Linked DNA regions of Xenopus tropicalis. The protein of the gene in region 1 interacts with the protein of each later gene in a biochemical or structural test. Links are inferred from orthologs where the notes say so. Each region holds a gene or a part of one and is shown in the gene's direction. Other genes may lie near its edges. The genes, in order: apba1, htr2c and cntnap4.

Region 1 (10,011 bases):
GACTAATACGATTTTTTCGTGACTAATACGATTTTTTCGTAAGCATTTTCGGGATATTTGCGATCTTCAGAAATTTTCGTTTCCAATCCGAATTTTTCCCATTCGGGATTCGAACTCGGGTTTTGATAAATCTGCCCCTTTGTGTTATGCATCTCTGCAAAAATATTATGTCATAAACAATGACCCCTCTAATTTCTTGTAGGCTGTGTAAATTAAAGATAGCAGGGTGCACAGAAGGTTTTGTATGCAATTCAGTATTTGCTTGGACCCACCCAGTGCTCTGTGCAAATAGATTTTAGAAACTGATTTTAGAAAATGCATGATAAAGATGAAGTAAATGAACTTTTATACACTATAAAAGTACAGAAGACCAAGCAAACCCATTGACTCAAATGCAGTCTTTGCTTTCTTTTTCAGTTGTATGCTTTATTTAAACACTAAGGGGCCGATTCACTAAAAGTTGATAACGCTTAACACATGCTTTTTTGCTTTAAAATGCATGCCATAATTAAGTCCCGATTCATCAAAGTCATTTTGCATGTGTTAAGACGCATATCGCATGCGCAAAAAACGCACAGCGGGAAATAATGCATGTGGCGGGAATTAATGCAAGAAAAACTCTCATCGTGAGTTAAATAACGCAAAGAACATCGCGTCTTAATTATAACACCTGTCCTTTTAGTGAAGTCGCAAAAAATAAGAAGCGATAACATTTTTAACGCATGCTATAAATAGTGCTAGTTTTATCGCCCTTTAGTGAATCAACCCCTAAATGAGCCACAAAGATCAATATTAAGTTGACGAACAGGTACCTTGTTTTACAGTGGGCTTAAGGCCCTTGTAATCCGTTATCTGGAAACCCTATCCAAAAATTCGGAATTACGGAAAGGCTATCCCACCTAGACTCCATTATAAGCAAATAATTCCAATTGTTTACAAATTATTTTCTTTTACTTTGTAAAACAGTACCTTTTACTTGATCTCACTTAACATATAATCCATTTGGAATTAATTAATGTATACATGATATTTAAGCAGCCTTAAGGTATGCAGATCCATATTAAGGAAAGATCCTTTATACAGAAAACCCCAGGCCCTGAGCATTCTGGATAACTGATCCCATATCTGATAGCTGTAATTGAAGCTGCCATGTAAATCTACAATCAGTTGATTTTTAGTTTTTAGAAAAAAAACTGTCTGTCAGTTTTGTAATTTAGTTTTTTTTTTTTTACATATATTTATATATTAAAGGAACAGTAACACCAAAAAATGAAAGTGTATAAAAGTAACTAAAATAAAATGTGCAGCTGCTCTGCACTGGTAAAAGTTGTGTGTTTACTTCAGAAAGTCTACTATAATTTATATAAATAAGCTGCTATGTAGCCATGGAGGCAGCCATTCAAAGGAGAAAAGGCACAGGCACATAGCAGATAACAGATAAAACACTATTGTATTCTACAGAACTTATCTGTTACCTGCTATGCAACCTGTGCCTTTTCTCCTTTTTCCAAGCTTGAATGGCTGCCCCCGTGGCTACACAGCAGCTTATTATATAAATTATAGTAGTGTTACTGTAGCAAACACACCAGTTTTACCAGTGCAGGGCAACAGTGCATTATATTTTTATTACTTTAAAGCTCTTTCATTTTTTGGTGTTACTGTTCCTTTAAGTTAATGAAAGTTTTTTTTTTTTTACTTTGGGTGTTGTACCATACATGGGTAAAGTGCAGCTCCATGTGTCTTTGTAATTTTTTTTCCTTTTCTGTATTAATGACCAGGCTTTTGTTATTGATGCAGACCGTGTTCAAACAACCTTCTTCATCATGTATTTAACTCTTTATATTTGTGTTTTAATGCTTTTAAAGGGGAAGGAAAGTTACAATCAAATGTTGGGCATTTTACACCCCCCTCATTGATTTTTACCTTTCCTTCTCCTTTAAATAACCAGTTTCTGTAAATGGAAAACTCCATAGCAGACATGCCTTTCTAAGTTTTGTAATAACCTGTTCTGCAAAAACCACAGGGTAGTTCTGCAGAAAATTTACATACATAGTGACCCTTTAAAGGAGAAGAAAAGTAATTTTGCTGACGATGAATTTGCCACATTAGTGCCACCTAGAATAAATATTCTGCAGAAACCATTACCATACCTGAGTAAACAGTTTTAGAAGCTTTCTCGGTTTGCTTGAGATAGCAGCTGCCATTTTAATTAGCTTCCTTCCTGCTCCAGCCCTTATAGCTGAAATCACACATTCCTAATGGAGAGGGAAGGGAGTTCTAAGCATTCTGGTGGGAGGGTGGAGCAGGAGAGGGGAGAAAAGAGAGAACTGAGCAGACTCTGGCCCCTGGAATTAAGGTTGTTCCTGAGAGAGGAAACATCATGTTTACAAAAAAAAAGAAACAAGAAATCCTGTGTTCATTTTGATAGAGGACTCAGTGTAGCATTACTTTCTTTTTACCTTTCCTTCTCCTTTAAGAAATGTATGTTCTATTGTAAAGAGATATTAAGCAATAAAATGTTCTTTCTGAAATGCTGACATAGATATATGGTTTGTCTTTGTTTGGGCTATAAAGAAATGTAGGGAGTTGTTCATGTAGCTGCTTTGTTTGATCATTTCTGCCCCCAGCCGCATTTACCTATACTCAACTCTGATTGATTGGCTGTGCCCCCTTTTTTATGAGTAGGGAACAAGCATACTTTTCTTCTCATCATTTGTTCATAGCTTATAACATATAGAGATATATAAATGGCAGTTGATGTATTTGACCTGCTAGAGTTACAAGTATTCCCAGCACGGCAAATAAGCATTGATTTCAGTGTCTACCTCTCTGACTTTGTTTGCTCCCCCACCATCCTTTGTTTTGAGGGGTTAGCCTCATAGTTTGGGAACCAATGTAAAGGTACTTATATGATATGCAGTGTTCAATATACATTTGCTGTGCCATCGCTATTCTGTGCATTGCATGGGTAAACTGATCTCATGTTTCCTAGTTGGCTCGTACCCAAAGAAATGGAGACAGATACAGAAAACAAGCAAATAAAAATGCAGCAAATCCAATAAAACTGTATAGAGTGCATGCTAAATAAACAGCATTATTTAAACTTGATTACTTTGGGTTGATTGTTATTCTTACCATTAAATCTAATACATTGCCGAAGTTGTGCAAGCTGTGAAATTTTAAAGTCACAATTAATACGCTTTATTGCTTTGTTTATAGTGTAACCTTTAAAACAAAGTTAAAGCAATATAATGCTGTAACCTGTTTTCTTTATTTTATGTCTTCAAGCTATACCAGCTCTGCCAGATTTTGATTTAGAATAATAATGTATTTGCTGCTGTTATTCTGTTCTGCAGTCTATAACTGTTCATACATCTACATTGGTTTCCTGCAGTGTCCAGAGAACTGCGTGATGGTATTGTATTGTGAGTAAATAGATGGTAAAAAGTGAGGATGCTGGGAGGATTTCTGCAAATGCTGCTTTTTAATGGGTTTGTTTTGCTTTAGGGTATTAAACAGAAAATGCAGACAGACTGAGAAGTCCAAGCAGGTTTTTGTTGGCAGGGATTCATGACCAGTGAGAGAAGATAACAAGATGTTTATAAAACACTTAGATTCTGAATTCTTAGATTTTAATGCTAATGAGCACCATGGTTGCTTGCTGCTAAAACCAGATTTCAATTTTTCTTTTTTAGTGCAGAACAAAGATGTTTATACTATAAGACTTACTGCTGTGAACCAGCCATGAACCATTTAGAGGGATCGCAAGAGGTAGAGGTGAGTGATGAGCCTGGAAGTGCAGACATTAATGAGTCTGTGGAAGCTGACCTTGAGCACCCAGAAGTCGAAGAAGAACAACACCAGTTTGTTCCCCCTAACTTGCGGCAGGTATCTGAAGAGCAGGAGGGACAATCTGGACAAGAGGAAGATGGCACTCTTGCCCGATCTGCAAGCACAGAGAGTGGTTTTCACAACCACACAGATACAGCTGAGGGGGATGTGATTGCAGTACAGGCAGATGGATATGATGTGGACCGAATCCAGGAGAATGATGATGAGAGTGCCTATGCTATTCAGTACAGGCCAGAGTCTGAAGAGTACACTGAGAATGCAGAGGCAGAACATGGGGAAGCTCTGCACAACCGAACTCTTCCTAATCACTTACACTTCCATGGTCTAGATCAGGAGGAAGCTCTAAATGCGGCCTACTCTGGATATGTCTACACCCATAGGCTATTTCATAGGGGAGAGGATGAGCAATATGCGGAACCTTATGCAGATTATGGACTGCAAGAGCATGTGTATGAGGAAATAGGCGACACTCCTGAACTAGATATTAGGGAGGGCCTCAGACTTTATGAGCAGGAAAGAGAGGAAGCTGACAACTATCGGAAGGAAGCACTTGGTGCACGCCTTCACCATTATGATGAACGTTCTGATGGGGAGTCTGACAGCCCTGAGAAAGAAGCAGAATTCGCACCGTACCCAAGAATGGACAGTTATGAGCAAGAGGAAGATATTGATCAGATTGTGGCAGAGGTCAAACAAAGCATGAGTTCTCAAAGTCTGGACAAAGTGGCAGAGGACATGCCAGAAGCAGAACAAAATCTGGACATAGTAGAACCTTCCAAATTGGGAGGTGGAAGCCATGTGACTAATGGAAATCTGTCATCTTGTTCCAAAACATCTACAAGTACAGGAGAGGTACAGAGGTATAGCAAGGAAAAGAGGGATGCCATCTCACTAGCCATTAAGGACATTAAGGAGGCAATTGAAGAAGTAAAGACAAGGACAGTCCGTTCCCCATATACTCCTGATGAGCCAAAGGAACCTATCTGGGTGATGAGGCAAGACATTAGTCCAACAAAGGACTGTGATGACCAAAGGCCACTAGGTGGAGATGTAAGTATATGTAGTATGCACAGTTTTATAACCACCTGCTTTCTGCTTATATAATGTGGCACGTGGCATTCAATGTCAATGCATTTATCTAATTAGTATGCAAATTTTCAAAGGCAAAAAAAAGTTTTGTTTATTTTTTATATTTAACATCATACATATATAATATATGTCTATAGAAAATAAGGAACTTTTCCATGGTTTTTACAATTCAGTTTTTTTATGACAGAATATAAAAATATGAATCCTAATGTAACTGGAAACTCTATTTCTTAAACACTCCACATGAAAAAATTCTTGCTTAATTGATAGTTGAACACAGTAAAACTTCTGCACACCTTTTACTTGTAGATACTGTGCTCCCCAGTCCCTGGCTGTTTCAAGTTTTCAATATAGTGCTCAAAAGAAGAAGAGAAAGGCAGAAGGGGAATTTACTGTGGGTTATCACCCTACATCATTTATTGTGATACAGAAATTTAAATTACAAAAGTTACAGCATTCTCTGTGCCTTCGCCCCTTCTTTTGTGGGCTTAAAGGATATCAACACATTATTAGACTTATCCACAAACAAATAAGCACATGTACTTTTTCCGTTTGGAATGTATTTAAGGAATAAGAAAAAGTGTGTGACACTAGTTTGCAGTTACCGTCAATATTACCTTCAGTGGTTTCAAGCTAAACAGTCTTTGCAGAGGAGAGAATATTTTGTGTTGAGATCTGCCCATCTCAGTTTGTTTATATTTTGAATATTTGTAGACAATAAGAAATGGCTGTTTTCATAATGGCTTTTCTTCTCTTCTGTACAAAGAGTAGTAAGTCATTTAACAACCTATTCCTATTCATTTTGGAACCCATCTTTTAATTTTTTAAATTTTAAACACCCTATGGGGCACATTTACTTACTCACGAACGGGCTGAATGCGTCCGATTGCGTTTTTTTTCATAATGATCGGTATTTGGCGATTTTTCGGAAAATTGTCGCAACTTTTTCGTAGCCATTCCGAATGTTGCGCAAAATCTGGCGATTTTTTCGTAGCGTTACTACTTGCGCAAAAAGTCGCGACTTTTTTGCAGCTTTCGTGCCGAGTACGAAAGATTCGGATTCATTCAAGCTTCAGTATGGTGACTTTTCTTGGGCCAGGTTGGAGCTGCAGGGTGCCATTGAGTCCTTCCAAAGGCTTCCAAAATCATGCTAAGTCTGAAAGTTTCACCCGCCGCTTACGAGCGCTCAATACGAAAAAGTCGCGGCAAGATACGAGCGCATCGTAATGGCTACGAAAAACTTGCGTTTTTTCTCGCAAATCATATTGGTAATGAAAAAGTTGCGACAATTTCCGTAAAGGCGGCGAAAAAAATCACAAAAAATACGAAAAAGTCGCAAAATGTTCGTTTTCGGAATTTTTCCAATTCGGATTCGTGGGTTAGTAAATGTGCCCCTAGGTGTGTGTCTGCAATTCCTAAGTAGTAGTTGCTTGGGGTAGCTTCACATCGGGATAGGAGTCTTGAGTCAATATGACTCATCTACATGTACTAAATGGTACTTTTCTTATGTGAGGATTTCCTGAAACCTGCAAGCCAGGCGACTTTCAGAGCGGATCACTGGTACTGGTCTAGGGTTGCCATCTTTTCTTCTTTTTTTTTTTTTTTTTACTATTGCACCGACCTTTGGATCACTAGGAATGGGCAGGGGCAACACGTGGGGCGGGGAAATGGGTGGATTGGGCAGAGTATAGGCAGGTCTGGCCTCATAAAAGGTCATTTGTCAGAGGTGAGGGTCAAGAAACGGAGTGATTTGTAGGGTATTTCAAATTTACTGTCAATTACATTGCCAGTAAATTTGAAATTATGGCCCCAACCCTAGCTGGGGATTTACCGGCTGGGCTGGTCATAATATTGCCCAGGCGGTAACCCTATACTATATGGATACCAGTCCTATCATTGGTCATTTGTAAAAGGTCACAACTGTTTCCATCAATTTTACGTGACACCTGAAAATATATTTATATAAAAATGGATTTACCACATCCAAGATTCAGTTTTGGATTTAGATAAATGCTAACAATTTTCAGATTCAATTGATTCCCAGCAAAATTCAGATTCAGCCAAACCCTAAATTTTCATTTTACAGAATCTGAACCCATAATGACAAATGACTGTAAAGATTCAGACAACGGTAAATATTTTTGTTTAAAGAAGATCCAGTTTTGTTGCATGTGCCTGTCTATAAAGAGGAGCACATGTCATTTTTGAAGATGTTATTAAATCTCTCTGTGAGAGCATACTAAAAATCAAAAATGTGTCTCTGGATTATATAAATCTAATGTATTTTGGGTTTCACAGTACCAAAAACGTGATTTACAGAGAAAAAAAGTCTAATGTATGCAGGCCAGCAACAATGCTTTTTGTAGAAATCTTACAAGATAAACAACCTCATTTTGTGTTTTTTAAACAGATCCTGGTGAGCCTTGATTTACACAGTCTTACATAACAAAATCCTCCTGTTGTGCCAATGTGCACCAAGGACAAAGGCAATACTGACTCCTAAACCCCCCCCCTAAGAAATTAATCATATATTTATTTTTATATATATATATATTTTAAGTATAGTAAGCATAACACATACAACAGAATCCCACGGAATATAGAAAAAAGAACTGAAAAATGGAGACTAGAGAAAGTATCAAAGAAACATTGAAGGAAAACTATAACCCCAATCAATGTAGGTCTCCATAAACATATATTGCGTAAACAAGCTCATATGTAAAGCCCCGCTTCATCTAAATGAACCATTTTGATAAAAATATACTTTTTTAGTAGTATTTGCCATTGAGTAATCCTAAATAGAAAATTGCCATTTTAAGAATTATGGGCCGCCTTCTGGGATCATAGGATTCACAGTGCACACAAACAAGCCAAGGCACACATACATGCTAGGCCACATCAGCCAATCAGTGGACAGAGATCTGTCTTTTGCTTACACACTTCTTCCTGTTACAGTTAGAGCTGCATTATTTCTGGTCATGTGATCTCTGAGGGAGTGCACAGCCAATCACTAAATGGTGGCTCAAGGGAAAGGATGTAAAAGGGCAATTTTTTTTAGCTTACATCTGGAAAGGGTAATGTTCACTGCTTCCATAAAGGGTAGACAGGTCCACAGACATCCAAAGCAGATCAATGGCTATTTTTATCCTATTTTATTATATTATTCTGAATACAATGGTGTCTGCTTTGTAGTGGAAAACAGAGTTTTAACATCCTTACAAGGGGGTGGGATATTGGCCTCTGTGTTACAGTTGCTTCATTGGATGAAGGTCTGCTTATAAGTAATAAAGTAGAAAAACAGAACTGGTAAATAGCAGCATTGTGGTCTTTAGCTGGAACGCTTAAAGGGGTTGTTCGCCTTTTGAGTTAACTTTTAGTATGATGTAAAGAGTAATATTCAATTTGCAGTTGGTCTACATTTTTTTATTATTTATAGTTTTTTTTAGTTACTTCATTTTCAGTTCAGAAGCTCTCCACTTTGGATTTTCAGCAGTAATTTGGTTGCTTAGGGTCCAAGTAACCTTAGCAACCAGGGAGTGGTTTGAATGAGAGACTAGTATATGAATGAGGGCCCGAATTGAAAAAAGTTTAAAAAAAAGTAATAATAATAATAAAACTGGAGCCTCACAGAGCAATAGTTTTTTGGCTAGTTTTTTGACCCCCATTTAGAAACTGCAAAGAGTTGGAAAAAGAAGGCAAATAATTCAAAAACTATAACAAATAAATAATGGAAGCTATTTGAAAAGTTACTTCAAATTGATCATTCTATAACATTCTAAAAGTTAAATTAAAAGTGAACCACAAGAAAGGTAACAGACCATAAATGTATGTTAAACTGTGCAAAGGGTTAGATTTTAGCCAGAAAGTGTTCATATCTGCATTTTTGTGGCTTTTTAAGTCAGTGGCTACCTGCACAAGTGGATTGGGGTGGTGTTGTCGTTAACTGCTCTTTATTTTTTGCCATTAATAGTAAATCTTTACAGGGCCATTACATTAACATGTGGCATATTATGAAATAAATAAAAATATGAAGTTTTTTGTTGCTAACTAAAATCACAGGCTTACACCAATTCTTATATATTTTTTTTTCCCTACGATTGTCCCACTGAAAGAGTTGCTAAATAAACTGCAATTGTGAATGAGTAGTTTTACCCTTTAACTGTAAGCATGTAATGTATTCAGTTTTTCTCTTCGCATTATACTTACAAATTCATCAGATACAGCATAAATCAGCCGTCTGATCCTCACTTTAGGGCCAGTGGATCAGCTGTTGAATCTAAATGAAATAGTCATGCTTCTGTTAGGCTCATTTGTCTTAAAGGCTGGCACTGGATTGACAGATATTCAGTGAAACATTTCTGTTTATTTTCTGATCTGCCATATAAAGACAGTGCCACGAGTTGCTGGTGCCTGAATTTTATGCATCTGCTCAGTCTGAATTCATACAAAATCATCCTGTACATGTGACTATGCAAAGAAATATTTTCTATTCCATTCTTTTGTCCAAACTTGTTTGTTCCCTTACATTTTTGATGGGTTGTAAAAATGTATGTCGGGTGTCCAATTATTAGTACAGGTATCGGACCCCTTATCCGGAAACCCGTTATCCAGAAAGCTCCGAATTACGGAAAGCCTGTCTCCCATAGACTCCATTTTAATCAAATAATTCAGAATTTTAAAACTGATTTCCTTTTTCTATGTGGAAATAAAACAGTACCTTGTAACTGATCCCAACTAAGATATATATAATCCTTATTGGATGCAAAACAATCCTATTGGGTTTAATTAATGTTTTATTGATTTTTTAGTAGACTTAAGGTATGGAGATCCAAATTACGGAAAGACCCCTTATCCGGAATACCCTTGGTCCCGAGCATTCTGGATAATGGGTCCTATACCTGTAATAGAATAAAGTATGCTTAAATGCTAGATATAAAATACTGTAATATTACTCACAGGTATTATATTCATAAGTGTTTTGTGCTGTCCTTTGTGTACTGTACATTCCACCATATAACTTGTAGTAATTAGCCCAGTGCATACCTATTCCTTATTGTTATTACTATTACT
Region 2 (10,668 bases), on another chromosome or scaffold:
CAGTGGTTATCATCTGTCAAGTTGTTTTATATTGTTTTAATTTCTAAAGAGTATACATACAGTAGATCTATATCTATCTAGCTATCATCTATTACTCATATTCTTGTACTCGCATATTTTATGATACTTTAGTATTGCCAATGTAAGCACTGCGTTGTACTGCTTCTTGACTAACTGAAAGTTCATTAACTGAATATAGTATAACATTCTCTACATCTACAAATAAAAGAGAAAAATAAGGTGGGTTCTCAACTGCTTATTTGCCATTCTGTTCTGTTACAGAAGAAGTTTTTCTAAACATATTGGTTTCTCTCTCAACTCTTTAATCTCCTTCTCTGTAATGGATTCTCACCTCTCTGTGTCTCTCCCCCTAAATTTTGTCAACTTTGTCAAAGAGATATACTTTAAATTATTACTCATTTTAGGCTAATGCCACACAGGGGAGATTTAGTGCAGAAACAAATGAGTATGCATTTCTGTGTCAATATCTGCCATGTGTGTCTGCGCTGGGGGTTGACACAATGGTTCCAGGTGCAGGCAAGGAAGAAGGATTAATGGCATTAACTAAAACAAATAACATTGCATGGAAATAAAAATTATAGAAATGCATTCCAAGCACATGCAGCCCTTGATACCCTTGGCTGCCAAAAGGCCAGATGAGCTGGGAGTGCCACTGTGGCCGCTCAAAGCTCGTAATAACGACACAACAACATTTGTGTGGATAAATTAGCGGCCACAGCTTTTAAATTAAACATTAAACATATGTATGAATAAACAACATTAACAAAATATGCCAACTGCCGGGGGGCCCGGCAGGCACGAATTGAACCCCGCTGTAGAAGGAGTCTCCTGCAGCTGGCCCCAGCCGTAAGCTGCTGACCAGCCGCTTAACTCACCAAATTTATCTCCAGACTACGCTGTCAGATGTTGCCATCCGCCAAATAAAAGCTGTGACAATAAAGAACCTAGGCATGAGATAAACATAAACAGAACATATCACAATAGTAACAAATCAACACTTGAAGAAATGTGGGTGGGTGGGAAACTTTTCTAAGTTGTAGAGCTTTCTTCCCTGACAGGAATCACTTTCTTCTGACATGAGGTACTAGAGGAGGGATGGTGATAGGTTCAGGGGTTGCCTAGTAACCAGGAACGCTCCTAGCTCACTGGCCGACAGCCATGGCCCACCACCCCCCACTTTGGGTGGTCGCTGGGCAGACTTTCTAAAGTACTAACATCTCAGTCTACTTGTTTACTGCTGACTACAGAAATGGAATGTTGCCTTGGATGGGTTCCAAGGGATGAAAAGCTGATAAAACAGATAAATACATGCAAAACTTCAGTCACCAGTTGTCCTTTAAATATACTTGGCTATTTCTCAAAAAAGACCACATTTGTTTCTAATTACATTAGACTGAGAGTGAGTACAGTATTAACTACAGATTAGAAAGATACAGACATAAGCAGCATGCTGAAATATGGAATTAGATGTCATTATAAAGAACATCTAGATTAATTAAATTCAAAATATGTAAAAGAGTTGCGTAGAAATCAATAGATCTTTTCATTTTAATTGTCCCCTCTCATAGAATCGTTTTCATTTTTGATCATTTGCCCAAGTGCATGAAATGAACGAATTTCATTTCATGAGTGACGCTAGTTTCTAATTCTAAATGCTTTCATGGTTGCCTCAATATGCATCTTATTGGGAGCTATAATTATAATTTTTGACATCCTTGGGAATGAGATAAATCTACGCATAATTGCAGAAAACTGCTTAGTACAGGCTTAGTATAGAATTCAAACTTAAGTGCATTATTTCTCTGACAGAAAGTGGTGCAGTTCATCTGCAAGTACTAACAAGGTTAAGTCCCAAATCACAGCTCAAACACATATGTAATCCTTCATTTAAATGTTACTCTTTCTGAAAACTTTGAGAAATAGTTTACATTTATTTCAAAGAAAATGTCTGTATGTAGGGCATGAAGCCAATACGTTTCTATAAATATTAAAGCATGGCATAAAGTACTTAATGTTTGAATAGTACTGAATGTTATTTATAATAATACTATTCATCCTTTCCATTCCATCCCATTCCATATTTGCCTTAATATTTATAAATGGTTGCCTGGGGTGAATAACTCTACAAGTGCAACTGTCATGTACCACGATGAGCCAAAAGGTGATAAGCCTCCCCTACACTTCCCACTGAACCTGAACACTGGGAATGGGAACAGTAAAGTGTTAAAAATTAAACCTTAGTTTTAAATGATTGTGTGATGATTGTTTGACCAACCATGGAGATATGGGCCCCAGGAGAAACATGTATTTCTAAAAGTTTGAGTATACTTCTGTTTTTATTTCAGTATATTCAGCAGTGAATGAAATCCCCATTATGCCTACAAATACGTGGCAACAAATTCTAAAAATTATGGCGACATAATTTTTTTTTGTTTTTTTTTTGTTTGCAATATATCTTTTGAACAGCAACATAATTTAGCATACCCAATGCTTACCTGTGACCTGAGTTGCTAAAGTCCTGGACTGAGTCTTTACATGAGAATAACTAATGAATGATATTAGAATTCAAGTGGAGACGTCAGCAGTTTGCTTTAGCATACATTTTCTGTTTTCCACTTTTATTTTATTACATTATTGACATAATTTGTGTTGTTTTATGCTTCATGAAAATGAATGCATGCAAATGTAATTACAGCAACTTTGTTTATAATAGGGTTAATGTACCCAAATTGTATATTTATATGAATATTATTATGTAAATATTTAAAAGCTTGAGACCACATGCTATGTGATGTATATATTATCCATCATTAAGCCTCGGTAAAAGACAACATGATGGTTAAAAATCAGTGAGAATTAACTTCTATCTGTCCTCCCTCCCAATACTTTTCCCTGCAGTGGTGTCTTCCTGCTGCTATAGTCATACATGGAATTCTGCACTACCTTGAATTTTTATTAGGAGTTTTTTTTTTATTAGTGCCTTACATTGAAAGAAACACATCTCCCATGACAAAACATGGATCGTCTGCTAAAACAAGGGTATCTGTGGCAAAGCAAAAAAGTCACTATTGCAGATGAAATTAATAGAAGACTATAATAAATGTCCTCTTACAATAGACAGCATATATCCTGCTATACACATTGCATTGCCTTCCAAATGCAGGAGCATAAAAAAAAGATCAGATAAATTTGGATGGATTTTTTGTTTTTACATCTACATCCAACAATCAATGCATTTCAATAAGTAAAAAAAGTCTGTCAGACACCATGAGATTTTATATCGTCAGATAAAGATGCAGCAAGCAGCGTTTCCTTCTGTTATGCATGTTGTGTTGGATGGTAATAGTAACATGGAACTATATCTGACTTGTTGGATGCATTCTATTGATCTGGTTCCATTCTACAACATCTCCTGTGGAGTTTAGCCTTTATAGTAACGCAAGAACCAAGAATTTAGCCCTCACTTACTTAGTTTGACATTTACAGTATCCGAACCTTTAAATAAAAGTGCAAAATACAGTGGTGAAGGATACTATAAATTCTACAATGTAATTAGGACATACTACTATTCACATTGCGTAACCTGATCATACAGGACAGTTTATAATACAGGTATGGTATCCCTTATCTGGAAACTCGTTATCAGAAAGCTCCATGTGATTGTATGGCCATCTCCCATAGAGCCCATTTTTCAATTAATTAATATATTATAGTGCTGAGGTATTTGTTTATGAAGTTTATAGTTTTTTTCAGCAATGCAAAATTAATAAGCAACCCTCATTTTCCCTTCTCTTCAAATATCACGGCGTTATATTTTTCTCTCAGAACAGATGGGGAAAAAATACCAGGGTTGAAATATGAACCCTAGGGAAACCCAGAAAAATAATTACATATAAGAATCTAAGACCCTCCCAGTTGGCACAAGCAACCAGGCATTTCATAGAATTTTAAGATAATAGTATGGCAGTGCAGTAAGTAAAGCTTGAGTCACTGGGCTACAAATGCACTAATTGGCATATTTGTCCAGCAAGTTTGCATGTATATTAACTAGTATGTAAACACGTTTGCCTAATAATAGAATGACTTAAAATTTGGACACTATATCAGGGGAATGTAATAAAAGTTGTTAATGGACAAAATATTAAAAATGCTAAATTGTATTTCTTTGTGTGAACAATTTTTTCTTTGCATTGAAGTAGTAAAATGATACGCTGTTGATGCATACTGTATATTTCATATTACTTTCTACTTTATAGAACTGGTGGTTTTTACCTGCAACAAAGTGTCCATGGGATTCTGTTTTATATAAATAAAATTTAAAGGCATATATTCAAATTTTACACTTAAAATGCAGAATCTACAGAAAAAGATTTCTTCCAAGTGAACCCCAGCACACACACATAGACCCATTCTGACCTATCTATACACTCACAAGCATAACCTATATATACCAACATTAATACTAACTGTAGATATTAGTATCACAATAGCCTTGGATATTATGCTTGTTTAAGAACTCATCCAGGCCCCTCTAAAAGGCATTAACAGAATCTGCCATCACAACATCACTAGGAAGGGCATTCCACAACCTCACTGACCTCACCGTGGTGGTTACCTTTCAAATGAAAGTTCTATTCCTCTAATCTAAAGGGGTGGCCTCTAGTGATGAGCGAATCTGTCCTGTTTTGCTTCACTGGAAAATTATATTTTTTGACACAGGCAACAATTTTTTGACACGGGCAACATTTTTGCCACCCATTTCACAAAATAATTCACCAAAATCGAAACAAGGAAATTCACCACAGATCCATGCCTGGCAAATTATTTCGCTCATCACTAGTGGTCTCTGCTGCAATGATCCTTTTTATGGGAAAAAAAAACTTTTCCTAACTGTCTATAATCCCTGTACTTGTACAGAGTAAATCATGTCCCCTCGCAAGTGCCTTTTTATCCAGAGAAAACAACCCCAACCGTGACAGTCTAACCTCATAGTTTAAATCTTCCATCCCCTTAACCAGTTTAGTTGCACGTCTCTGCACTCTCTCCAGCTCATTAATATCCTTCTTAAGGACTGGAGCCCAAAACTGCACTGCATACTCAAGGTGAGGCCTTACCAGGGACCTATAAAGAGGCAAAATTATGTTTTCATCCCTTGAGTCAATGCCCTTTTTGACTCAATTTATATTATTTCAACCAAAGTACATAACTTTGCACTTTTCAGCATTGAACCTCATGTTCCATTTTGCTGCCCAGTTTTCCAATTTTGCCAAATTACAATGCAAAGTGGCAGCAACCAATATGTACATGTAGATTGCTGCTTTATACAGAAAAAAAACCCAAACCATTTATATAGAAAATGCATGTATTTAACTGATGCTTGCTCTGCTGGAAAAACTCTATTAACTGATGCATTTTGAAAAGAGTATTTCGTTAAACACTAGCCTTGTCTTTTGTTAGCCTTCACCCAAGTTCAACACAGTGTTAGCAGCAATAAGTTCTTTATAAAAATGTTATTTCTTTATTTTTCACTCTTTGTTTTCCATGTTTTAATATCTAGGATCCAAGATTCAAACCAAATCCATATAGAGGAATAACATGAACATTCATGTTTTAAAGGATGTCAGAAGGATTGCTGTTCATCAACATGTTCCTTAATGGAATATACAGAAAGCATGCAATGCTGGTGGCCCTAAGAGACAACTGCCCAAAAACATCAGTGGTTATTCAGCAAGGTACTTCTTTTTGAAGGAAAATCAAAAGTTTAGTCATCTGTGTTTAACCATACTGCTAAGCAAAATTGCTATTTTAGATTTGAATTACCTTTACCTACTTTTAGAAAGCTTGTTTAAATTATGCATTAGAATCTACCAAATTTCTTTAATGAAACAGTGTACAGTGTATAACCTTTAGCAGCACGGACAATTATGCTAAAATATGAAGGAAGTGAAGACTTTTTAACCACGTAAGAAGACAATACTAAGGCATTTTACATTGGGTAGCTGATGTGGGATATGCACCCAGGAAGTAAGTGATTCTGTATGACCGCTGGCTTCTATCTGTAATAGGTAAACCATGAACTACATATTAGCTGATGCAGGATCTATGAATGCAGGTTGGTCTGTTATCTACAACAGATACTTTAGTGTTGTACTGTATATATGTATGTATGTATATCTTTATTTATAAAGTGCTATTTATGTACACAGCACTGTACAGTTGAATAGATTAGCACAAAGTATAACAATAAATACAAGGTACAGTTGCAATAAGTTAAGAATCAAAGATACAAGAGGATAGAGGTCCCTGTCCCATAGGGCTTACAATCTAAATGTGTTGCTGTGATATGTAATGCAGCCATATGTTCTTTAATGATGTTCTGATGTCACAGGAAAATAGAGCAGCCAAAATATCTCACTATAAACTTCAAAATATAACTAGCAGTATACCCAGAGATAGGTTTTAAATAGCAGAAGATCAAGTTCACTGAGATTTCAATATGTTCAGATGTTAAAAATGTCATTTCTAATTTTAGTGTTGATTGGCCAGGAGTATACATTGTTTCATGTCATTATTGTCATGTTATTATTTATTCACTGTAGTTGTTTAATGTCACATAATATAGTATATATTCTACTTTCTTTTCTGCACGGTGTCTCCAATCCTATGTAGTATTTTGTTTGCTGCTTATTTATTTTTTGTACACAGCAGAGAACTCTAAACCTCTCTCCCAGTTGATGCTTTCTGTCTAGAAACAAAGTACTAAATTGAATTGAAACAAGAAAATAAAGAAGAGGAGAAGCGAGACCAGTCAGAATGTTTTGGGTGGTAGGATTAATAAGGTTAGGAGCAAGATAAGGCTATAAGAAAAGACCAGGCTGGTGCATATTTAAAGGTTTAATCACATGATTCAAAAGTGAGCAGGCTGAAGTATATGGAATAAACGGACGTATAGCGATGAAGTCTAAGTTAAAAAATTCCATGGATGCCTTGTCAAGCCTGTAATATCTAACCAGTATTCCTGGTGTAATCACCGCCAGTTATCATGGAAAATGTATAATGGAAAGTTTCTTGCTTAAAGAATCTCCATAGATTCCTTACAGTATCTTGTCCACTGAAAGAGAAAACTCCTTATGTTCCCCACTTTGTGCAAGAATTCCCAGGATTTTTTTTGAAAAGCCTTGCAAAATGTGTTCTGCCCCCCTTCTCCCATGTTGAAGTAAATATTGTAAGGGGATATGATGACTGTTGCAACTTACGTGACAGTAAGTGACAGTGGGAGCACAAGCACCACAGTCAATAAGCAGGAACAACCTTGTGACATTTGTGCTTTGATGAATTAATAATTCTGCAAAAATAATATTTATAGAGAACTCTATGCAGGGCTGGAAATGAGGGTAGGCAGGGTAGACACACAGGGGCACATTTACTAATCCACGGACGTCCGAAAGCTTCCAAATGCGTTTTTTTCATGATGATCTGTATTTTTGCAATTTTTTTTCGTCGCCGTAGCAATGTTTTTGTATTTTGCGCGACTTTTTCATCCCCGTTACGACTTTATTGTATATTTTCTGCGACCTTTTCGTCGCCGTCGTGAAAAATTCGGATTGGTTTTTCCGCCATTTACTATAGTGAAATATGAAAAAATTGTGGCGGCGACGAAAAAGTCGCGCGAAATACGATAAAGTCGCGACGGCGACAAAAAAGTCACGCAAAATACGAAACAATCGCAACGGCGACGAAAAAATCACAAAATTTTTGTTTCCAATCCGATTTTTTCTCATTCGGGATTCGGATTCGAGGATTAGTAAATGTGCCCCACAGAGTAGGGAAATACTAAGGGGGGACGTAATTTGAAAAAAAATTTGACTGGTACCTTTAACTCCTACTGCCAGCAGGTGAGTGAGGGAGTGGATGTGGAGTCACTGGATAAGCAAGTAAAGAGGGAAACTGTTGTAATGGGTGGTATGGGAGTCAGCAGTCAGGGTCAAAAGATACTTGCCAGGTGCCAGTACCTCTTTTCCCATCTGTGATTCTAGTTATCGACCTCTAGCCTGTTACTCACTATCCTGACTGCTGTCTCTCCTGGCCTGTGCTCCAGCTTTACATTATGATTCTGCCACACCATTGGGATCTGGCTTTGTCTGTTCCTTAGTACCAGCTTCAGTATTGTCCCATCTTTTTGGTTCTGGTTGCCTCACAGCCTGGATACCTGGTCAATTGTGTTCAGTGTAACTAGGGGAAATGAAATAGATCTTATTTTGCTACAATGATTCTATTTAGCCAGTTACCTGGCATGGATCATATAATATATAAACATATTTGTTACGCATTAATATTGTTAAAGCGCTAAATAATCACTGCGAAAGCAAGTCAGCACCCTTTAACAAATACCATATAAAAGTGAGACAATCTGTGGTTACCCAGAAGCATTAAGGAAAAAAAGTACTTTAGCAAAAAACAAACTTGTAAGAATGTACTTAACTCCCACACAACACACAGCAGTTTTATAGAACAAAATTAGCCTAAAACCAGAAATGCGAGCTGCTACGAATGAGTATGAAAAATGGGTTTAGTGTAGAGAGCGTGTACTGAATGACTTATATTTTAGCAACTTGTTTATTTTTCAATTGGCTACTTATTCCTCTGGGATTATTTTCACATCAGTTTATGCAGTTATTGTACTTAATTGTTTTTTAACCAAGCTATGCAAAATTATATACATTGCAGTGTGAAGGGTACAAGACAAAATGTTGTTTAGTTTTGTAAATCAAATTTATTCCTTGGCAAATTTGTGTTATACAAGACTTAAATATTACTCAATTGTAGACATTGTAATACAACAAAACAGCATCAGAGGGGGCAAGAAAAGGTGAAAGAACTAGGGGAAGAAAGATAAAAATTATTATTACAATTAAAATACTCCCACCACAGAGCTACTGTATATCAGGCAAAGGAAGAAGAACAGCAATTCACACTTGAGTTGTACCTTGTGAACATAAGATTAACAGGTCACATTTGCTAGTATAAACCAGGTTTCATGTGATATTGATAAAAAATAATGGATTGCTGAATGTTCTTTCAGAGAAAGCATTTTATATGTAATTGAAACTATAAAATGATTTGATTAATGTATGAATTATATATTAGAATGAATGAGATCATTATGAATTAATTTGAAAAATGAATACCCCTGAAGCATGATGCTACTATCAGATATGCAATTTCTTTCTTCCTTATCAACTCTTTGGAAACTTTTGTAATTACATTTAAATTGTTTTAACTTTACAATCAATAGATATAGTTGCATCCTATGCCCAAAACTACAAACTAGCCTCTGCATTACTCACATTTTCCCTCATATTTTGTCATAATTAAAAAGAAATCACATTTTTCTCAGTAGACAGCTGATACCGTGATCCATTATTTAACATTGTATTTTATCATTCTAATTAATTTTAGCCATCAGTTTTAGGAAAAAAACAAAATAATAGGTACTGTACTTAAACATTTTTAGACTCACCAAGTTGTATTTTCTTTTTATAGTAATGGAAATATTATAAATACACATAACTATACCTGAAATACAAATGTCACCATTTTTAAAGTAGAGTTCTGAATCTTGGCCATTTCATACTCAGAAAGGTAGCTGTGGCTTGTGGGTTATTTAACCTGTTAATGGGTTCTGACATGCTTAGATCCCTTGCACCCAGGTGTTATATTTGTATGTGCAGAATATAAATCCTGGAGGATAAAGTGATTCTGCTCTATAAAAGCACTTTGTTCTAGTTTAACCTGGAGAATTCCTTCTCTAAACAGTGCTATTTGCCTTCTGTAGCCTGATATTTGAATTAGCAAGTATAAATATGGGGTAAAACTGTACTAATTTTGATAATATAATTGTTTCCTATGCATACCCCTTTTCTGATATCATACACAGGGCTAATGTTGTATGAATGAATTAAAATGTGTACCTTTGCAGTTTGATTAGGGCCTGGTATATTTCTGGCACTTAGTATCTCACTGTTTCTGAAGATTAGTGTAGTTCTGCGCTACTGTAGCAACTAAACAACTCGGGTTAAGTCATTAAGGGATAAAGACAGAGGAATATAGTTGTAATATAGCTGCGCTCAGTTTCAGAAATCAGCTAGTCATGGATGGTACCAAATCAGAGCAGAGGAAGGACCCTGATTAATCAAACCAATGTGTGCTGCATGTGGGTATTTCATGTCACAAATACTATCGTAGAATTATGGTTTGTGATCTTTAAAAATCACAAAATGATTACTACAAACATTCAAGTGAAGAGAAACCTAAACAATACAGAACTAATAGCTATTTTATTAGCTATAACAATAAACAAATATGCATTCTTTTGAGGTACCTACTACATCGTATTAAGACTATATTGGTGCTAGCATGATAGCTTCTTACATAGGCCACTGAGCAAACAGGAAACTGTTCTTGAAACAAACAGTGATGACCCTTAAAGGACATTTTCAAACAAAACGCCAGAAAACACGGCTAAAGCAACAAATTCCTTCAATGTCATATAATACTTTGCATGCCACTAATATGCCACTAAAGTTCCATAAATTATACAGCTCTAAAGATGAAGCTTGAAACATTCTGTGTCATGCTTGCTTCACT
Region 3 (10,011 bases), about 7.5 Mb from region 1:
GATCATTAGCAGGCCTATAAAATGTTAGGGGTAGATTACCGAAAGTCTTCTTTGAATGCAGCAGATGTTTGGAAGGTTTCTAGAAGTGGAATATAGAATGAACTGGCATTCTTTCAGACTAATTTCTTTATTGGATAGAGTACTACTTATAAAATCAGACAATTTGCTGTTCATATGTACCAAACTTGAAACATTTAATTAACTAAATGAAAATGAATTCTACTTTGCCATAATGTTTTTAATAGACACATATGGTTGCTATATTTTAATAAATATTACGGTACTAAAACAATTGCTTTCTTCCTGACTATAAACCAGCATATTATATCTTGTGTTAGCACTTGTACTTTTCTAACATTTTAGATTAAGTATAAAATGAGACACTGGTGCAGTTATGTAGCTAAATACAATATACATGGTTCTATAAGGAGGGATTTTTTTTATTATTATTAAAGGCGTTTGCCATAAGGTATAAAATGTGTGCCCTTTTTAGTAGATTTGTTCATTTAAATATTGTATTTTTATGATAATTAAAGCTAAGTAGTGATGAGCGAATCTGTTCCGTTTCGCTTTGCTGAAAAATTCGCGAATCTTTCAAAAGATCTGCGAAACAGCGAAAAATTCGCGAAACAGCGAAAATGTCGTGCGACCAAAAAAATTGTCGCCCACGGCTATTATTTTGTCGCGCGGCTATTGTTTCGTCGCCTGCGGCTATTGTTTCGTCGCCCGCGGCTATTATTTTGTCGCGCTGCTATTGTTTTGTCGCCCGCGGCCATTATTTTGTCGAGCGACTATTGTTTCGTCACCCGCGGCTATTGTTTTGTCGCACGGCTATTGTTTCGTCGCCCGCGGCTATTATTTTGTCGCCTGCGGCTATTATTTCATCGCACAGCTATTATTTAGTTGCACAGCTATTCTTTTGACGCCGGCGACAATTTTTGGACGTGCGGCAAATTTTTCCGCAGCAAGTTTTTTCAGCCGTTTTGCAAAACAATCCGCCAATGGCAAAACGCGGAAATTCGCCGCGAATCCATGCCTGGCGAAACATTTCACCCATCACTAAAGCTAAGTATTATTAATAGTTTCAGTGCTTTAAATGACACATATTTTTTCAAATTGCAAAGTTCCTATCCAATAACAGGCCAGCCTACAAATCAATCAGTTAGGTACATTGAAGGTCAGCTAGTGTATGACCAATTTAAAGGCCACTAATTCTAAATCATATTTTATGTTTGAGTTACTGAATGGAATTTCAGCTTGACTATATACAAACTATATGGTTCAAACTGCCTTATCTTCTAACGTTTTAATCCCTTTACAGAAACCTATGAGGATTATAACATTAGAGGGAGGTGAGAAACCAGTTGAAACTGCTAAGAAGGCACTGTGTGACATAGCTTGAAGCATAACCAGTCATAATCATGCCTCTAGATATAGCTGCATAAACATAGCCACTAGAAATGCCCAAAGCTTGGACAGATTAATATCATGAAAATGTGTAGGAATCTTCCATACCAAGCAAAATTCAGCAGGAACATTAAGGTTTTTTTTTTGTTAAATAGCAACTGTTTTACATAATCCCAATGCCTGTGGAAGGTACTTTGGGTTTAATAATAAAAGAAAGAGAGATATTTATCAAAATTGTTGAATGTTATATAATGATTAAATGTCAGATAGACGGCAGACAGATGGAGCCTGCAAAATAAGACAGATTCACTCATCACTACTCAGAATGATCTAGTAGTTAACCACAGGGCTAGTTTATCAAAGATTAAATCTGAAATCCTACACATTTCCTAGAGGAGTTCTAACCATTTAATCTTTCCTAGAACTATATAAGATAGATCTGATTGGCAAATTGATTTGATCAAATCAAAAGGTCATTTCAACAGGTTTGGTTATCTCAGACCTTCCAAAATAATCACCAGAGTTACTGGATTAGATATAAGTCTATGTACAATGTTAAGTGAATCCATTATCCTGGAAGTGTTTTATTAAGTGATCTATCAAATTCAGTCAGTTCTGAACAGTTCATTCTAACGTGTTCGGGTGCAATATTAGGTATAATGTATTATGACAATCATTATGGAATATTCTGAATTCATAACTGATGCATTTTATAGGAAGGAAGATACTATCACCATACTATCCTAAAGGTGCCCATACACGTGAAGATCCGCTCGCTTGGCGAGGTTGCCAAGCGAGCGGATCTTCACCCGATATCCCCACCTATGGGTGGGTGATATCGGGGAACATGTACAGTAGGCCCTGGGCCCCAAACAATCGAATTATAATGGCAGCAATGGGGCAGTCGGTTCAGGGACCGCATCAACGAGCTGATTCGTTCCCCGATCCAACTAAATCTTTTAACCTGCCCAATCAATATTTGGCCAATTTCTGGCCAGATATCGGTCGGGCATGCCCCTCGTTCTTGCCCCTACACGGGTCAATAAGCTGCCGAATCGGTCCAAGGGACCGTTATCGGCAGCTACAATCGGCCTGTGTATGGCCACCTTAATTAGCATAAAGGAAAATGGGAAAATATGGGAAAAATACAATGTCTATATGATAATAGTTTTGTAATTATAATATATATATTTATTAACTCTCACATGATCCATACTCCCCTTAGTAGATTTAGGAATGCTATGGGTGCTGCACTAGGTTGTATAACACATTAACCTGTAACTACTGTGCGAACTCCACAGTAGATTGGACCAAATGTTTGTCTAAACAAAAAAAAAAATGTAAAATTCTGCATGTGCATAAAAGACACACTTTATTATGGAAGACGTAGGTTTTATAACTTAATACTTTAATTCTTTTATCTTATACAGGTGGAACAGCATCAAGACAGAAAGGATTTTTAGGATGCATACGTTATTTAACATTAAATGGAATTGCCCTTGACTTGGAAGAAAGGGCTAAAGTGACCCCAGGAATTAAACCAGGATGTCCTGGACACTGCAGTAGCTATGGGAACCTATGTCACAATGGAGGAAAATGTGAAGAAAAGCACAATGGATTTTTATGTGATTGTAATTCCTCTGCTTACGGAGGACCATTTTGCAAGAAAGGTACAAACTCTCTTACATTTCTCTAATTGCATTTTAAACTCATTTTTTTTATAAATCAAAAAATCTAAAGAAATGCAATTATAACATATTAGTATTACATGCCTATACTTTGATAAGCGCAATAAACATGCAGACCTTTTTTAAGATGATTAAATCATAATGCAGCACAAGCTTAGGCAAGACTGTATATCATTTTTTTCCATCTATGTGACATAAAAATGACAATAGCATAACATGAAGCAACTTCTATAATGTTTCATTTTAAAAATCTTGTACATTTGCGCTCCACCATAATTTGTCTGTATTAAGATATTATTCAAGTTATAAAGTAGCTTAGTCTACCCCCAGGTTTATCATTACAAGCAGGTACTAAATTGAATAAAGTCATAAATGTCATCATCTCTATCTTGGACTCTATGTAAGTCGTGTTTAATTATTCCCAGGCGTTGATCAAACCAGTCTTTAACATCATTTCCTCTCTCTCTGTTTTTGATTACTTCCAATGAGATTGTGTCTTACACTAATAGAATTGTTCATAAGTGTAGATGTATAATATATTTTTAAATGTTTACAACTTACATAGTTACATAGTTACATACATTTTAAACTTAAAAAGACAAACTTAAAAAAATATTTTTGATAACCTTTAGGATCTTAATTAACTTTTTTGTTACCTTGGGTGATTAATGGTGCAATGGAGAACAGAAAGTCAGAACCCCCCTGCAGATCATATGGTATGTGAACAGAGTGTAATTAAAATCTACCTTTTAATAGCTACAAATAAAGATAAAAAGAAAGGAAAGTTACCTGTAAACAAAACACTTTTGGTTAAAAGTAAAAAAGAAAATGTCTAAGGGCTGAACTCTCACTAACTTTCATAATAGGAAGTTACTATTTAAGCCTAACATAGAGGAACGCAATACAATTAGGTATATACTGTAGACATGAAAACCACTATGCCACCTTTTAGGTATATTTTAGTGTATACTCTATAGTGGCTTTAAGCTTGCAGAGCTTGCAAAGGCATAATTTGTTGCATTGCAAATATTTTCTGTTGCCAACTAGATTTGTCACAATACATTTTAGACACCTATTTCTAGTCTGTTTGAGAAGGATGTTGGTGTTAAATATATGTATTAGAGTGCAAAGCATGGACAAACTGATGTTTATATTGAGTAGATCAATATTAGGTGGAAAATAATTTTAGACTTAATGATTTTTCTTTATAGGTTCTTGATCTATTTGTAAAGGAAATGTGCACTTTGTTTTCTTTTTTTTTCCAGAGATTTCAGCATACTTTGGTGGTGGGTCTTCAGCAACATTAACATTTCCTGAAAATTACACCATATCTAGAAACGCCAGCTGGTACTCTTCTGCTCAACACCCAGACACAAACAGTAGAGAAAACATTGCATTTAGTTTTCGAACTACTCAGTCACCGAGTTTATTACTTTTTGTGAGCTCTTTCAATAAGCAATATATTTCCATCATCATTGCAAAAAATGGTAGGTTCTCTTGTTCATTTTATAAATGCTATTATATAATGTTTTATGGTTAATGAGGTTTTTTTCACTTCAGAAGTTAAACTCTGCAAATCACCAAGATGCAATAGCAAACATTATAATTAAAATTAGCTGTTATCAGCTCTAATAATCTGTTAAGTAACAGTTTACATTGTTCATATCATGTGATAAAAGTTCAGAAGTGCTTCATTGCTAGTAACGTGGTTGGGAAATGTGGTTTTTAGAAAACACTGTTCAAACACAGAAGGCAGGGCAGAATTTAATTGCCTTATCCTTCTTACAACTTCAGGTTAGCATGTTCAGGTTCAGCTCTATGCCTCCAAGGGTCATACAATGTAGGAATTTTGCTAAGTGCTTTACCTGTCACTATGTAGTAAAAAAAACAGTATTCCTAAGATAGTTTGATACTTTACTCTAGGTATTGAATGAAAGACACTGCAATATTCTCCAACACATTGAACAGACAACAATTTTGGGTATGGGAACTGTTATATGCAATTCTTGGGACCTGGTCTAGGGATCTTTACATAACAAAGAAATGGTGTCTTCAAGCTAATTTAAAGCATTAAATAACATACAAATAGGATTGTTTTCCCATCAACATAGTTTTAAGCTCATTTCGTTATCAAGTTTATCAAAGCTTCCCAGACTGGATTTGCAGTGCAAGAATATAAATATTTTGCCTTCGGGGCTGCTTAGAACTGTACTAAATGGTGCACATACAGCGTTGCATGCTGCGCTGTTCACTCTTGAAAAAGTAAATTGCAGTTTGTTCTTTTTATAACTAGGTCAAAAAAGATTATTTAATTACCTACCTCGCAAGGGCCAAACATCAAGGGGCTTCAGTTTTACTGTTTGTCCTGTTTAGTTTAGGAAATAACAAAACCATAGATTTTTTTGTTATTAATACAGCAGGCAAAAAGTACATCCAGCACAAGCCTTACTCATTGCAGTTATATTGAAGAGAGGGTATACAACCCCTTTAACTCTGTTTAGTATTTGTAAAGGAATGTATACAGGGCATAGTCTTGTTTAATACTTCAAAATGTAAGTGATGAATACAAATGTTATTCTTTCAGGTAGTTTGCAGATCAGATACAAGTTAGAACATCATCTTGATCCTGATGTATTTAATATCAATACAAAGAACTTAGTTGATGGACATCTCCAGAAAGTGAGAATTTTAAGAAAAGGAGAGACACTCTTTATAGAGGTAAGAGACTTAATATGAGAAGGTTACTGAGAGACTAAATAGTCACTCTTTAGTACAGGAATATGGAATCTGTTTAAAATATTATATTATTCTTTGACATATCTGCATCGAGCATAAAACAACATGTAAAAAATTATATAATCAGACACCACTAGTGTTTGTTTTAATGAGATGTTTTAATAGTCAGTATAGTAATATATATAAAGTCATATAAGGTATCTGTTCTCCAGAATGCTTGGGGGGGTTTCTGGATAATTGGTATTTCTGTAATTTGGATCTTCATTCTGGATCTAAAAAAACATTTAAACATTAATTTTACCCAGAAGCATTATTTTTCTTCCAATGAGGATTAATTGGCAGTTTTAAAATGATGGATTTTAATAATAAAATTGTACAAGGTGCAGTTCCCAAAGCTGTACCTGCTCTCTCAGATGATGAGTACAAAGTAGTTAGTAATAGGAATATACAGTGCAAGCAATTTGTTTTACCAAGAAGTATTTAGTATTCAGTTTTGGATATGAAAAATAGTTTTTTCACAACTGAACCTTCAAATTACTCTTTTTATTTTCCAAGTTAGATTCTCCCAAGTTTCTTCTTAAGTTTAGTTGCTCAAGTTAATCATTCAAAAACATTTTCACTGGTGGGAAAGCCCCAACAATTCTATGTTTAGCCACAGTTATAATTATTAGTATTAATGATGCCTTTGCTAAAAAGAGAATATTTTGCCGAGTTTATTAAGGACTTATTAAGCACCTCTATTGTTATGAATAATTCCTTATGTCTTTAATACAAAAAAAAGTTCCAATACTTTCCCCTTTGTTCTTCTCTTGGTCATTTTAACCTTATGTTTAACCTTTTCCTTTTTGTATTTCTTAGCATATAATCGAACATGGCATAAATGGGTTGGGGAGTATGTGATAAAGCAATCTACACAGTAATGGTCAAATTTTGACAGAATTCATAGTTAACAGACCTGTGTCTGTTAACTTAATAGTGATAAAAGGCCCACCCCATCCAAAAATTATGATAAAAATGATGAAAAAATTCCACCCCTCTCTATTCATTTCCATGGGATTTTTAGAGGCATATTTATCAAATGGTAAACTCTGACTTTTACCCATTGATACACCTCTAGAAATCCCATGTAATAGAGAGTGGTGGAATTTTACTGTGGGGAACTTTTACCACTGAGGATTAATGTATGTACAATCTAATCACAGGTCAAGAGTAAATAACAAAGTATTATTATAATTGTGAATGTAAATTTGAAGGTGCTTATAATGAGTGAGGGAAAGAAATGAACTTGCCATGAGATAATATTTACTGTATCCTGTAATAAACCAGTCAAGTCTAAATCCTAATCTCCTGAAACCTCATATATAGATTTTATTTAAAAAAAAGGATTTGACCAAGAAATATTTTATTACATGTCTAATTAATATATTAAAATATAATTTCAGGTTAACCAGTATACAGCTGTAAAATTTAGTCTCACATCAGTTACTGAATTCAAAGCAGTTCAATTTCTTATCCTTGGTAAAATATTAGGTAAGTAGTTTTTTTTCCTTTTTTCTTAAAGAGAACACTTTCGATTTATTTTTTTGCTACAACTTTCATAAAATATCTGTAATTCATGATGAAATGTATTTTGCTAGAATATTAGGATTATGTCCAATTATGACCAGGATTATGAGTCCAACAGTAACCACAATGAGTACCTCTTATTGTAAATTATATTTACTGTGTGCAGTGCTGATGCAGTAAATCTGTTGAATACTGTAAAGTAATTATACAAAATACTGAATGTACATTTATGCTTAATTAAAGCAACAATTCTGCATACCCCTGGCTTACCCCTGGCTTATGCATCATTTAAAATTAGAAATCTAGGGACCATGGGGGATGCAGGGCTTTGGGAGTGTTGTATTTAAACCTGCTTCTGACACAAATGTGCTCTGCTTGTGGTTATATTTTGAATCCATGCAAGACGCAGAGCACAACTAGCATGCAGCATGAGCACGGGTGCAAGGAGTAAGTGCATAGTCTCTAAGGGGTGCACATTTGCTCTTCTTAGATTTCTAGTACTTGCACATCTGCTCATCACAAATTAATCGTACTGCCTTTATATCTTTAATGCTAAAAGGTAACCTCCTGGTAAAATTCAATCTTTTTAAAATCCTTTTATTAATTTATGTGATATGATTGGAATTCTTTGGTTTCTTACTGCAGATAGCTGAATAATTCTCATCTTCCCTAGAAACCAAATACCTGTATAGGGTACTAAAATAGAGAGAACGAGCCTTTAAGTGAGACTTGATTGGTAGAGCATGTAATTGAAAACAAGAAGCCAAATTTAAGGAAATATGTAAAAAATGAACCAGTGAAAATTATATTTAGCATGCAGCAGCTGTTCACATTCGATATACTTAATTTAATATTTTATAGTCTCTTTGAATGAAATGAATGTAATAAGTTAAACTTTTTTCACTGTTTAATGTAATAACAGTTATCTTGTGTACTTTTAGTGAATTCCTGCAACTGCAGCCTCCAGCTTTGGCACTGTAAAAACTTCACATTGGTTGTTTTTCTGACTTTTTTATTTTTTACAATGCCAGCAGCAAGTTTCTATCTTCTATATGAAGACTTAGGGGCCCATTTACTAAACAATTTTGAGATAAATTCATATTTTTTCTAAATTATAGAACATTTTGGATGCACGCAAAAAGTTATTTGTGGTTTTCAGTAAATTTCCACAAAAAATTGTATTTTGCACATAGAATACGAACATTTCGGAATTCCTGAAAGCTTTGGTTACACTTTCATTGGGACTATCTATTTACCAGGTTTGATCTGTTGAGTACCGTTGAGTCCTAAGAAAGGCTTCCAAAGCCAGACATGGAAGGCATCAAAGCCAGAAAGGTTTTTGTGGTGTTAACGAACTTTTCGGCATAAAAATTTAAGGCCAGAAAAAAAATGCATCTTAGTAAATGTGCCCCTTAGCCTCCTTCAGATTCCCTTTTCTTGTATCACATTATCAGTCACCCCCTTCTTCCATTATATGTTGAATCCTTTTAAGTAGAAAACATGTGAGTTTGTATCTTTTATCTATTTAGCTAATGAATGTCTACTTGGATAAACAAGGTGTAATGGAAAGATTCATTGCAATATATATATATAATCTTTAGTCTTTTTTGTGATCACTTTACTGCATTTTTTCCACCTCAAATTGCTTTGTAATATTTTAGATATTATCTAATGCATAATGTAATATACAGAGTGCCAATTGTTTCATTTAAAAAATAAAATTCTACATTTTAATTTACAGCAGAAAATGATGAGCTTGATCTGGAGACAATGAAAGCAAATGCTAATGGATTCATTGGATGTCTATCTTCAATGCATTTTAACCATATTTTTCCTTTGAAAACTGTTTTGTACCATGAGAAATCACCACAAGTAATAACAACTGGTCACATTACAGAATCCAGCTGTGGTTCTGTAAATGGTATAGATTCAGCATCAAGTGAATCAACTCATACATTTGCAGGTAAATCCAGGCAATTTTAGAATAATGTCAGTATTGTTTTCACACTGTACTCTTATTATGTCCATCCATATCAGTTGATTTGCCTTTTATCACATTGTAGGAATGACTAAAGCAAGATACCTAGATGGAACTAAGTGATGCGCTAAAGTTGTTTCTTCCACTTTTCTTCCAAATTAGCTATAGGGTTGACAGGAAGTATTGGGCAGTGGAAAAAAATAGGATATTTTGTATAATCTGTCAAAGGCAAGCTAGGCAGAGAACCAGCTAAATCAGAATAAATATATATGACCAGGAAAAGAGAGACAAATGCATTTTGGTTAAGTATATACAGATGAAAGTCAGAAGCAGCACAAAAAGAAATCAATATAGACTTGCAACTCTTGGGCTTCCAAGACAGAAAGAGTGCATTTAAAGGTCTGTAGCTGCATCTTTATATTTCTTTTTTTTTTTATTTTACTAGACTTTTCACATTTGTTTTTATTATTTCATAAAATTAAAAAATAGAAAATTGATCAATAATATTTCAAAAGCTTGGCAAGTTATATACAAAGTACTATCTATGTAAGCACTGATGGACTCTACTGCTAAATTTATGTAAATATTTATCCACTAATAAAAGTCCACATTTCTTAAGAAGATATTTATGTTTTA

The links.
Region 2: the proteins of apba1 (region 1) and htr2c form a complex in vitro, tested with the Homo sapiens proteins (2 studies listed by BioGRID and IntAct, with this or other methods). The link is inferred for Xenopus tropicalis from reciprocal best matches to the Homo sapiens genes APBA1 and HTR2C.
Region 3: the proteins of apba1 (region 1) and cntnap4 form a complex in vitro, tested with the Homo sapiens proteins (2 studies listed by BioGRID and IntAct, with this or other methods). The link is inferred for Xenopus tropicalis from reciprocal best matches to the Homo sapiens genes APBA1 and CNTNAP4.

Annotation. Positions count from the first base shown.
Region 1 is NC_030677.2:129,550,040-129,560,050, reverse strand, and holds part of apba1 (amyloid-beta A4 precursor protein-binding family A member 1), read left to right. Parts: intron 1-3,695; coding exon 3,696-4,902; intron 4,903-10,011. UniProt on the Homo sapiens protein: Putative function in synaptic vesicle exocytosis by binding to Munc18-1, an essential component of the synaptic vesicle exocytotic machinery. May modulate processing of the amyloid-beta precursor protein (APP) and hence formation of APP-beta.
Region 2 is NC_030684.2:66,124,445-66,135,112, forward strand, and holds the start of htr2c (5-hydroxytryptamine receptor 2A), read left to right. Parts: upstream 1-5,576; 5' UTR 5,577-5,753; intron 5,754-10,668. UniProt on the Homo sapiens protein: G-protein coupled receptor for 5-hydroxytryptamine (serotonin).
Region 3 is NC_030677.2:137,066,079-137,076,089, reverse strand, and holds part of cntnap4 (contactin-associated protein-like 4), read left to right. Parts: intron 1-2,837; coding exon 2,838-3,077; intron 3,078-4,360; coding exon 4,361-4,582; intron 4,583-5,679; coding exon 5,680-5,813; intron 5,814-7,273; coding exon 7,274-7,361; intron 7,362-9,138; coding exon 9,139-9,360; intron 9,361-10,011. UniProt on the Homo sapiens protein: Presynaptic protein involved in both dopaminergic synaptic transmission and GABAergic system, thereby participating in the structural maturation of inhibitory interneuron synapses.